2 linked regions of the Sus scrofa genome follow. The protein of the gene in region 2 interacts with the protein of the main gene of each other region in a biochemical or structural test. Links are inferred from orthologs where the notes say so. Each region holds a gene or a part of one and is shown on either strand. Other genes may lie near its edges.

The links. The genes of interacting proteins can lie anywhere in the genome.
Region 1: the proteins of PCNA (region 2) and CHAF1A form a complex in vitro, tested with the Homo sapiens proteins (4 studies listed by BioGRID and IntAct). The link is inferred for Sus scrofa from reciprocal best matches to the Homo sapiens genes PCNA and CHAF1A.

Annotation. Positions count from the first base shown.
Region 1 is NC_010444.4:74,408,568-74,414,180, reverse strand, and holds the start of CHAF1A (chromatin assembly factor 1 subunit A), read left to right. Parts: upstream 1-2,305; 5' UTR 2,306-2,521; coding exon 2,522-2,573; intron 2,574-5,613. UniProt on the Homo sapiens protein: Acts as a component of the histone chaperone complex chromatin assembly factor 1 (CAF-1), which assembles histone octamers onto DNA during replication and repair.
Region 2 is NC_010459.5:14,139,298-14,144,913, forward strand, and holds the start of PCNA (proliferating cell nuclear antigen), read right to left. Parts: upstream 3,288-5,616; 5' UTR 3,247-3,287; coding exon 3,026-3,246; intron 2,130-3,025; coding exon 2,032-2,129; intron 1,873-2,031; coding exon 1,805-1,872; intron 1,072-1,804; coding exon 877-1,071; intron 1-876. UniProt on the Homo sapiens protein: Auxiliary protein of DNA polymerase delta and epsilon, is involved in the control of eukaryotic DNA replication by increasing the polymerase's processibility during elongation of the leading strand.

The DNA of each region.
Region 1 (5,613 bases), on a different chromosome or scaffold from region 2:
AGAACTCCAGAAGCTAAGTTTACAGAACTTTGGATGCCTGTTCACTAATCTCAGCTATAGCCAGTTCTTCTGTGCGTCTAGTACCTTCCACCATCATCGCGTCCTGCCCAGTGTTCATCTATTCAGTTGCCCAAGTCAGACATCAGGGTATCTCTTGTACCTCCTTTCCACTATCCCACCCCCAACTCTCTTCTCTGCCCTGATCAGACCATTCCACCAGCCTCCTCTCTGATGTGCCCACCTTCAGGTTCTTGCCTCCAATTCATTGCCTACAAGGCAACCAGAAAGATGCTTCTATGACACAATTCAGATCACATCAGCCCTCTGTTTAAAGTCCACCTACTGGCCTTAGAATACACTACCAATTTCCTAGGATGGCCTACAAAGCTTGCATAATTTGGCCCCCATCATCTTTTCTGGGTTTTTGTTTTTGTTTTGTTTTGTTTTTTAGGGCCACGCCTGTGGCATATGGAGGTTCCCAGGCTAGGGGTCTAATCGGAGCTGTAGCTGTGGACCTATGCCACAGCCCATGGCAAAGCCGGATCCTTAACCCACCAAGCCAGGCCAGGGATTGAACCTGCAACCTCACGGTTCCTAGTCGGATTCATTTCTGCTGTGCCATGATGGGAACTCCCCCATCACCTTTTCTGATTTCAGCTGTCTTCATCTATAATCCATGTGTTTTGCTAACATTGTTCCTCTCTTGCATATTCTTCCCCAATCTTTTCCCTTTTCCTTGTGCCTAAGAGGACTCTTTGCAATGGCACCTCCTCCAGGAAGCCTTCTCAGATTGATAAATGTTTACTGATATTGACTTTTTTAACCAACTGTTATTTTATTGAATGAAGTGGAAATTAATAGTGAATTGAAGTGAATAAATGAATCCAAAAAGAAGAATAATAAAATGACCAGAGCTAAAGTGCTTGCAATTTCATTTCCAAAATCTCTGACAGAGTTGAGTGCTTTTGTAAAGCAGAGGATTGCTAGAAGTTTCCAAGTGCCTCAATGGTAGGTCCTGGGCTAGATTAGAGGATTGCTTCGCAATAGGCAGGCTCCAACCTCTTTCCCCAAGATCCTGATGAGGCTATTATTAATAGTTTGAAATTTTTTCCATGTGATTCTGATGGGCATCCTGAAGGGTGATGCACTAGTCTCAATCATTTCAGATGTCAGAATGTTAGAGAAGGAAGGGAAAACATCCTAATGGTTCAGAGGGAGAAACTGAGGTCTTGAGTAAGACACGACTTACTTGCCTAAAGCGATGTCCTCGAATTTCCTATTTTTCCACATGATTTACAACAATCATACTGATTTAATTATCCAATTTACAGGATAAATAGAATTCCAAAATTGGGCTAAATTTTACTATTCTCACTTCTGCTCTGCTTGAGCGATAAATAGATGCTGAAGAAAACCTGTTCTAAGGCTCACAGACTGATTCTGAAGGTCTCTGTTCTGTGAGAGGCTTTTAATTTATCCGGTCACAGTTTAATCAAATGGTATTTAATGTATTCACTCATATATATATATTGGGTACCTACTACTGCGTAAGTCATCAATAGGTCCTGAGGATACCATGATAAATGATTTTTGCCTTCATGGAGCTAATGATAAAAACAGGAATTAATTCATTAACCAATAACACGCTAATAAATAAACACAAGGTGTAATTATTCCAAGAAAAATGACTGTGTTGTAGGAACTTCATGTTGTTGGGGTAGGGGAGAAAAGGCTTCTCTGGGGTTTTGATCTAAGATCTGAAAGTTAGGTAAAAATCAACCAGGAAAAGAGCTGAGGAAAGAGTGTTCCAGGCGAAGAAACAGCCTATGCAAAACCCTGAGGGATTAAACCAGAAACATTCATTTCATTCGTTCCCTCTGAATATATTCACTGCATCTCAAATGCTTCTGAAGCGATGCCTAGAGTTTATTTATTCTATTTTTATTATTCGTATTAAAAGAGTTCATAATTTTAATTTCTGTTGCTATGTGTGCAGCCTATATCCAATTACGACTTAAAAAAACTTCAGTCTTCAGCTAAATCGCAGTTTCAGGCTGTCTCTGGTGCCCTGTGTAAAGCGTTTTGTCACGACGTAGGAACCTGGCCCTTCCTCCTCCCACTCCCCACCCACATACCCCAGCAATCAACCAATAACAGTGTCGATTCTCAGATTGATATCACCCTCCCCCAATCACAGGGCACATGTTCACCGCCAATGACAGGCTGCCGAGGGGGACACCCCGCCCTCAGCGGGAATATCAATAGGGGAGCCCTGGGAGTAATGGAAGCCTCGGCTCTCGCGAGGATTCTCCCGGAGCACCCCTCTTCCCGAGGAAGCGCGTCACGTGATGCGGCCTCACCCAATCGGCGCATCGGCCGCGGGGGTCGCCGCGGTTCCCGCCAAATACGAGCGCGGCGGCCGCGGTAGCAGCGGCGCGGGCGGGAGGGCGAGCAGCAGCGGCCGCCTCAGCGGAGCCCGCGCCTCCTCCGCCTGAGGGGAGTTCGAGACGCTGCCGGGACAATGCTGGAGGAGCCGGAGTGCGGGGCGCCAGGCGCCCGGGGAGCCGCTGCAGGTCGGTTCCGGCACGCGCGGAGGGGAAGGGGGGGCGCGGCGTGCGGCCTGTGAGGGCCGAGGCGGCAGTTGGGGGCGGACGGGCCTCCAGTCCCGGGCCCTCTCCTCGGCTCCTCGCGTTCGGTCCGTGGAGCTTACAGTCCCAAGGAAGGGCCTTGGGACTCAAAGGGCGCTCTTCTTGACGTTATTGTAGCCGCGACCATTTTCTCCCGGCGCTTTTGCCGTCAGTTCGCCCTTCCAGGGCGCTCTGCGGTGACGGGTGTGTGTGGCCAGGAGGGGAAACGGAGGCCCAGAGAGGCGAAAAAGCCGGCTTTGGAAGTTACCGAGTGCGTTTGTGTCCCTTGATAAGTTGGACGCTGCAGCGGCCCCAAAACTGGGTGGAGAAACGGAGGTCCAGGGTCACAAGGGCTCGGGGACCAGAACAGTTGCGTCTGCGGGTCAGGGCAAGCCCAGGTAAGAGGCCCGGATGATAAGGGTCCCGGGTTCTTGATGCTGCCGACCTGTCTTTCTCCTTACTCTGTCTTGGGAGGGGGCTTTCTGGCAGGCCCTCAAGATGGGGGGTGGTGAACCACGGAAGACCAGACGACTTGACTCCTTTTACCCCCAGCACTTGGCAAAATGCTTGGCATGTAGTAGCTGCTCAATAAATGTGGGTTGTTTGAATGAAGGGTTGGCAGGGACCTCAACTAGACTAGTCCAGGGTTTCTCAATCTCAGCACTATTGACATTTGGGGCCGTCCTGTGCATTGTAGGGTGTCTAGCAGCATCCCTGGTCTCCACCCATTAGATCTCAGTAGCAACACTTCCTTCCTAGTTGTGACAATAATGTATCCTAGGCACTGTCAAGGGGCCCCCTAATTGAGAACCACTGTGCTAATTGTTTCCAGACTTTGGGATTTTAAATAGACATAGAATTTATGAAATAAAGTTGGGACCGATTGTCATGGACAGTCATTTGACCGAGTAAGGGTCAATTAAATGGTTAATTAGAAAATTTTAAAAGCACCATCTGTTATGATCATAATACCATAAAAGAGAAAGATGTCTTAATGCTAAATAAAACTAGAAAGAAAATAATTTCAATAAAGAGCAGTGGTAAGTTTATATACACAAATGTGTTAATTGTTATGTATATGTTTGAACAAGCCGCGTCCCTAGATGAGATCCATTTTACATCGACCTGAGGTTGCTTCTGGGCCCAGGTCACTTTTGCTGCACTTGCATTAAAGCTGGTGACTCAGGGACATGCCAATAAATCCTGCAGTTAAACTAAAAATAAATTTAAATTTAAGTGGCTAAGTTAATGTATCCTTTAGCTAGCAGTGGGAAGGTTTTGTTTGTTTGTTTGTTTTTGGTAACTGAAAACTTGAGAATGATATCTTGAAATGGGTGGAGAGGATATGTGAGTCTTCTGGGTACCTTTCTTATATTCCAAGCTTGGAAAGGGGATAGGGCAGCTTCATCTAACGGACAGTTGAGTTTTTAGAAAGCCCCAATCTGCTTTTTAAAAGTACTCATATACATATATATATATATATATATATATATATATATATATATATACACACATACACACACACACACACACACACACATACACACACACTACACATATATATTTTAACTTATATTGGCCAGAATAACTAAATTAGACTTTTCTAAGCCAAATCTAGCAGTTGTCAGCTTCTAAATTTATTCTAGCCATTTCAAGATACCTATCCAAAGATTTGTCTCTATTATGTGCATTTCCCCATCAGCTTTGATATTGTTAGATACTTTTTTTCCGAAGTGTGTGTGTGCAGGAAAACATTCCCCTTGTCATTTCCTTTTTTTTTCCTTCTCTTTACGGCCGCACCTGCCACACATGGAAGTTCCTGGGCCAGGGGTTGAATTGGCGATGCGGCTGGGACCTACACCATGAGCACGGAAACATGGATCCAAGCCGCATCTGGCTCTGTAACCCCCTGAGCGAGACCCAGGGATCAAACTTGCATCCTCACAGAGACAACATGGGTCCTTAACCCACACCTGTGGCATAGAGAAGTTCCCAGCTGCTGGCCTACACCACAGCCACAGCAATGCAGGATCTGAGCCATGTCTGCAACACGACCTACACCACAGCTCACGGCAACGTTTGTTCCTTAACCCACTGAGTGAGGCCAGGGATCCTACTGCATCCTCATGAATACTAATTGTGTTTGTTACCTCTAAGCCACAACGGGAACTCCTCCTTGTCATTTCTTGACAGTACTTTAGCTCCAGTCTGGCAAGCTCTGGAAATGCTTTAGTTATATTACCTTTATAACTGTTTTATTTTTATTTTTTATTTTTTTTTTTTTTTTTGTCTTTTTGCTATTTCTTTGGGCCGCTTCCGCGGCATATGGAGGTTCCCAGGCTAGGGGTCGAATCGGAGGTGTAGCCACCGGCCTACGCCAGAGCCACAGCAACGCAGGATCCGAGCCGCGTCTGCGACCTACACCACAGCTCACGGCAACGCCGGATCGTTAACCCACTGAGCAAGGGCAGGGACCGAACCCGCGACCTCATGGTTCCTAGTCGGATTTGTTAACCACTGCGCCATGACGGGAACTCCATAACTCTGTTTTAAAAGAAAATAAACCTTATTCTAATTGTACAGATTTGTTTGTGGGGATTAGAGGGGGATGTTTTGATTTGGGGTCATATTAATGGTAAAATCCATGATACAGTGTTTTCTCTCATCTCTACTTTTATTCAGTCCTCTTTTCATTGTCCTTTTTATTGTGTTTGTTGATTTCTCACTGTGTGCCAAACCCAAGCCCGTGCTACAGATACAGTTTGGAACCAGTCTCTCTGCTGTCACAGAACTGGCTTCTGTCGCAGGAAGACATAAACACAGAAGTCTCAGAGTGATAATTGCTCAAGGAAGATAAAACAAGAAGATGTCACATTGTCCAAGGCAGAATTTCTCAATCTCTTAACATTTGGGGCCAGATAATTCTCTGTCGTGGGGGACTATCCTGTGTATTGCAGAATATTTAGCAGTATCCCTATCTCCTACC
Region 2 (5,616 bases):
TTTGGTCTTTTTAGGGCTGCACCTGTGGCACATGGAAGTTCCCAGGCTAGGGGTCGAATCAGAGCTACAGCTGCCAGCCTATGCCACAGCAACTGGGGATCAAAGTTGTGTCTGTGACCTACACCACAGCTCATGGCAACGTTGAATCCTTAACCCACTGAGCAAGGCCAGGGATCGAACTTGCATCCTCATGAATACTAGTTGGGTTCATTAACCACTGAACCACAATGGAAACTCCCCAGTTTGTTTGTTTTAAATCAAATTTTCCACAATATTCGGATATATATAGCTTCCCAATCCTATTCTATGTTTGGGTTTGATACACAAACCCATTGTTCTATAGTTTATAAAGGTTGCACTGAATTTGCATTGCCTTCTCACAATTTAGATGGCATTTATAAACCACCTTAAGACATCAAGTCTTTCAAGTTCTCACAAATTAGTTACTTGGAAATGCAAATTTTGACTATTTTTCTTTAGAGTTTTCTTTAATTTTAGCAATTACCTTGCCACAGACGGTCATGTCCCATCCCATCCCCCCTTCCCCTGCCAAATTCACATTAAAACCAAATCCCCAATGTAATGAATGTAATGCTGTTTGAGGTGGGGCCTTTGGGAGATACTTAGGGTTAAGCAGGCAGAGCCTTCGTGAATATCCTTACAAATGACCACAAAGCTCTCTCTTGCCCCTTTTCACAGAAGGCTGCTATCTGTGAACCAAGAAGCGGTTCAGAAACCAAAATCTGCCAGTTTCCTAGTCTCCATAACTGTAAGAAATAAATTTTTGTTGTTTATAAGCCACTTAGTCTATGGAATCTTGTTACAGCAGCATAAAGTTACTTTTCAAAGTACTGTGTTTACTTAGAAATTACTTACTGCTTCCTCCTCTTTATCAACATTACTCGTTTGTGACAACTTAATATTTCCATTTCCGAGTTCTCCACTTGCAGAAAATTTCACTCCATCTTTTGCACAGGAAATTACAACAGCATCTCCAATGTGACTGAGATCTCGGCATATACGTGCAAATTCACCAGAAGGCATCTTTACTACACAGCTGTACTCTTGTTCCTATGAAACAAGGAAACTTAAGTTCAATGAATGGAAATGAAAGATTTGGCACCCTTACTGTCTGAAGACTCAGCATTTAAACAAGAGAATTTAAGGTTTTCTAATTATTTTGAAATATCACTTTGTGTAATTTCTTAACATACTCTAACCACTCAAAACGTAAACACAGTTATAGAACAAGAATGTTATAAAATAATCAAAGGAAACAAATAAGAACTTGAACTTTTATAGTAAATGCACTGTCCAGGGAACAAGAGCCTCCCCTTAAATGATCTACAGGGTTAAATCAAGAGAACATTAGGGTATAGCACACACACAATGACGGTGCTAACAGGCCGTCATTTTTTTGAAAAACAAAACAAGAAAATACAATTACTAGGCATATTAAACATCCAAACCCTCTTCTCTCATTTAATGTTGATAAACCAAAGCATAATGAATTTCTGCTAAAGTAGCTTTAAAATGTACTCAATAAAAAATTAAGCATTGTAGGAATAAAAAGAAGAGAGTCAATTAGGTTAATGCAAATATGCATGTGGCAGCAATCAATTCAAAACAATGAGCCATTGCAGAATACCATCATTTATATCAGTCTAAATACTCGGATTTGGAACATACATGAGCAGATATACAGAAAAAGCTCTTTTAGGAAGTAGGCTTTATTATATTAATATATTTTATGTAACTATCATGACTGTATGTAGTATGCTCAATCAGAAACTTTGATACTCACTGGAATTCCAAGTTGCTCAACATCTAAATCCATTAACTTCATTTCATAGTCTGAAACCTTTTCCTGATCTACCAAAAGAAAGCAAACGATGAAGAAAAACATGTAGGTTTATAATTGTGATAAATTTTACAATTACCACAAACTATCTTAAATTTCTCTCAGCTTTGGGAAATAAAGACACTGCATTCTAATCTCCTCTAGCATTAACTCAGAAGGGTGTAACTTACTTGGAGCTTCAAACACTAGTGCCAAGGTGTCTGCATTATCTTCTGCCCTTAGCGTAATGATGTCTTCATTGCCAGCACATTTTAGTATTTTGGACATGCTGGAACACAGGAGACAAGAGTTTAAAATCGACACCATCTTCTCAAGATCGTTAGCTTTCTAACTCAATTAAAACCATGAGTTACCACTTTTAACCACTGGACCACGTGTCGAATTGGCGAGTTTGGGAAACGTACTGCAGGAAGATGTAAGAGAGTCCAGCCGTTTTGGAATGCAATCTGCCAGTATTTATACTTATACGAAAAAGCCCACACCCCACAATGTGCAATTTCGCTTCGGGATATTAAAAAAAAGACCAGTATTTTAGAAAGTACAAATCCCTTTGGTGGGTGAAGTAAATTATTGGGCCGCGACGATCTTAGATTTTAATGTACCCACTGAAGCACCAGTCTATTATATTGAGTGTAGCACGGGTAAACACTTTTCACAAGCTTTAAAACTTAAACATGTGTATGTACTAGGAAAGGTAGTGATCAAAAAGTTTAAAACCACTGTCCTTCCTGGAGAAATTTTTCCTCAAATCCAGGATCTTAGGATGTTCACTGCAACTTTGCGGTAAAAAAGTAAGCTATTGTCCATATCACGGCGACAGAAGTAGGGCAAATTATAAAGCGGCTCATCTAAAGGCGCCTGCAATTAATAACCAAGGGCTCCGCAACAATCTTTTCCTGGCACCGCGAAGAAGCCCGTCGTTTTCCCGCCACCACTTGCTTTGTGACTTTGGCGCGGAAACAGCCGGTTCGCGCTGCAGTCAGCGCGGGCTTTCCGAACCGCGCGCTCTGCTACTGGTCCCGCCCCCCCGCCCCGCGCCACAGGCCAATAAGAAAGGTGCAGATATCCCACGCCAGCCAATAAGGGCCCGCCTTATGGGCGCTCCCGCCAAGAGCGGAGGTAGGGGTGTCCGCGGGCCCGACAGTCTGCGGCTTCGGGACTCACCTGGTGAGGTTCACGCCCATGGCCAAATTGCGGTCGCAGCGGTACGTGTCGAAGCCCTCGGAGCGCAGGGTGAGCTGCACCAAAGAGACATGAGACGAGTCCATGCTCTGCAGGTTCACGCCGCTGGAGCTGATGTCCCAGCAGGCCTCGTTGATGAGGTCTTTAAGCGCTTCCAGCACCTTCTTCAGGATAGAGCCCTGGACCAGGCGCGCCTCGAACATGGTGGTGGAATCACAACGACGCGGCTACAGGTGGAAGAAAGAAGGAAGGAGTAGCCGGCTTAGGCTTCAGAAGTTGAGAGAGAGCAGGAAAACACCACAACAGAGCCTGAACCGGAGGACGCACACTGCCAGCCGGCCGCGCCTGCAGCGGTTTAATACAGCCGCGTCTGCGAGCGCGCGCTACGCCCCCACGCCCTTCATGGCTACGTCACCACGCTGCCCCGCCCACTGCCTGGGCGGAGAGGCTGCGGAGCCAATCGTGTCCCTGCTCCACATGAAGCCCGTCCCACCCCGAACATCCATTGGAGAGTGTGGGCGTAGGGGCGGGGCAGGAATCTTGCGCCTAACGAGGGCCTGCTGATAGGCATCCTGCGGGGCTCCCCGCCTTTTTGTCGTGTTCCGGCGCCCGGACGTTAGACAAGTCGGGGCAAGTGTGAAGGTCAGGCCTAGGCTTGGGGGGGGGTCGTTGAGGTGGCTTTGTGGTGCCTCATCAATTTCCCGCTTGAGGGATGGGACATTTACAGCCTTGAAAGTGAAGGTGAAACGGAAATCCAGCCTTCTAGGAGGAAGAGCCACCATGCGCCTAAAGAGTATAGCTACTTTAAATATGCACTTTTTTCCCCCTGCTATTATAGAGTAGCAATTATAGAAGCGTTCCTAAAAGTGAACAATAAAGAGATGTACAGTTATGATTAAAAGAAAACAGTTATCGTGGCTCCCCACTGCCATCGCCTCCCCCACCACACACACACCAAACTATCGTTTACTGCATACAACTTTCTAAGCTTTTTTTTTTGTACAAATGTACTTTTAAAAACAAAATTCAGGAGTTCCCGTCGTGGCGCAGTGGTTAACGAATCCGACTAGGAACCATGAGGTTGCGGGTTCGAACCCTGGCCTTGCTCAGCGGGTTAAGGATCCGGCGTTGCTGTGAGCTGTGGTATAGGTTGCAGATGCGGCTGAGATTCTGAGTTGCTGTGGCTCTGGAGTAGTAGGCTGGTGGCTACAGCTCCGATTGGACCCCTAGCCTGGGAACCTCCATGTGCCGCGGGAGCTGCCCTAGAAAAGACAAAAATAAATAAATAATTAAATAAAAACAAAATTCAGGGAGTTCCCCTAGTAGCGCAGTGGAAACAATCCGATTAGGAACCCTGAGGTTGCGGCTCGATCCCTGGCCTTGCTCAGTGAGTTAAGGATCAGGCGTTGCCGTGAGCTGTGGTGTAGGTCACAGACGCGGCTTGGATCTGGAGTTGCTGTGGCATAGGCCAGCAGCTGTAGCTCGTATTCTACCCGCAGCCTGGGAACTTCCCTATGCCTCGGGCGCGGCCCTGAAAACAAAAAACAAAAAAACGGTTTATACTGTAAACACTTATGCAAAATACTTAACAAAGTATGTTTAATTTTATGCCACGTACTTCTTTTCTACATCATCATCTCTTTAAAAAAAGATTTACCAATTTCTTGTAATTCGGGCAAGTCTTTGAGGTAGTATTGCTGGATCAAAGAGCATATACATGAAAATTTTGATGAATGTGTTACTAAACTGACTTCTAAAAGATTTCAATTTATGTTATAGCCAGGACAATGAGCCTGCTCATCTCCCCTAATTTTTCTGTGGGTATTAGCAACCTCATTTTTAAAGAAATTGTGCTCATTTGTGTGAAAAAGTCAATATTTAATATGCAATTTGCACATTAAATGATTGGTACAGGTTAGATAGCTTTCATATATTTCTTTTTTTCTTTTTAGGGCCACACCTGTGGCATATGGAAGTTTCCATACTAGGGATTGAATAGGAGCTACAGCTGCTGACCTACACCACAGCCACAGCCATGCCAGATCTGAGATGCACCTGCAACCTATGCCACAGCTTGCACCAATGCAGGATCTTAACCCACTGAGACCAAGGACTGAACCCACATCCTCATGGATACTAGTCGGGTTCTTAACCCGCTGAAGCACAGTGGGAGCTCCTGTCACATATTTGACCATTACATGCTTATATTTTTCTATTAAACTGTCTTTTTCTTATTGATTAAAAGGAACACATCATGTATTAATCATTTCCCTATTGTAAATATCCCCCTTTGTTTCTTTTTTGCTCTTGTTTACAGCATTTCTCTTTAGTTGCTTCTAAAATTTTACATTGGTCTATAGAATTCTTTAGTTTTTCTACCATATATCTAGGTATGGATTTAGTTTTATTTATCCTGTTCAGGGAATTTTGTGTTCCTCAGTCAGAAGATTCATGCATATCATCATGTCTAGAATATTTTTAACCATTATGACTTTGAAAATTGCCTTTTTCTATTATCTCCCTCTAGCATTTCTATTAAATGGATCTATTTCATTGAACTTAAGATACCTTCA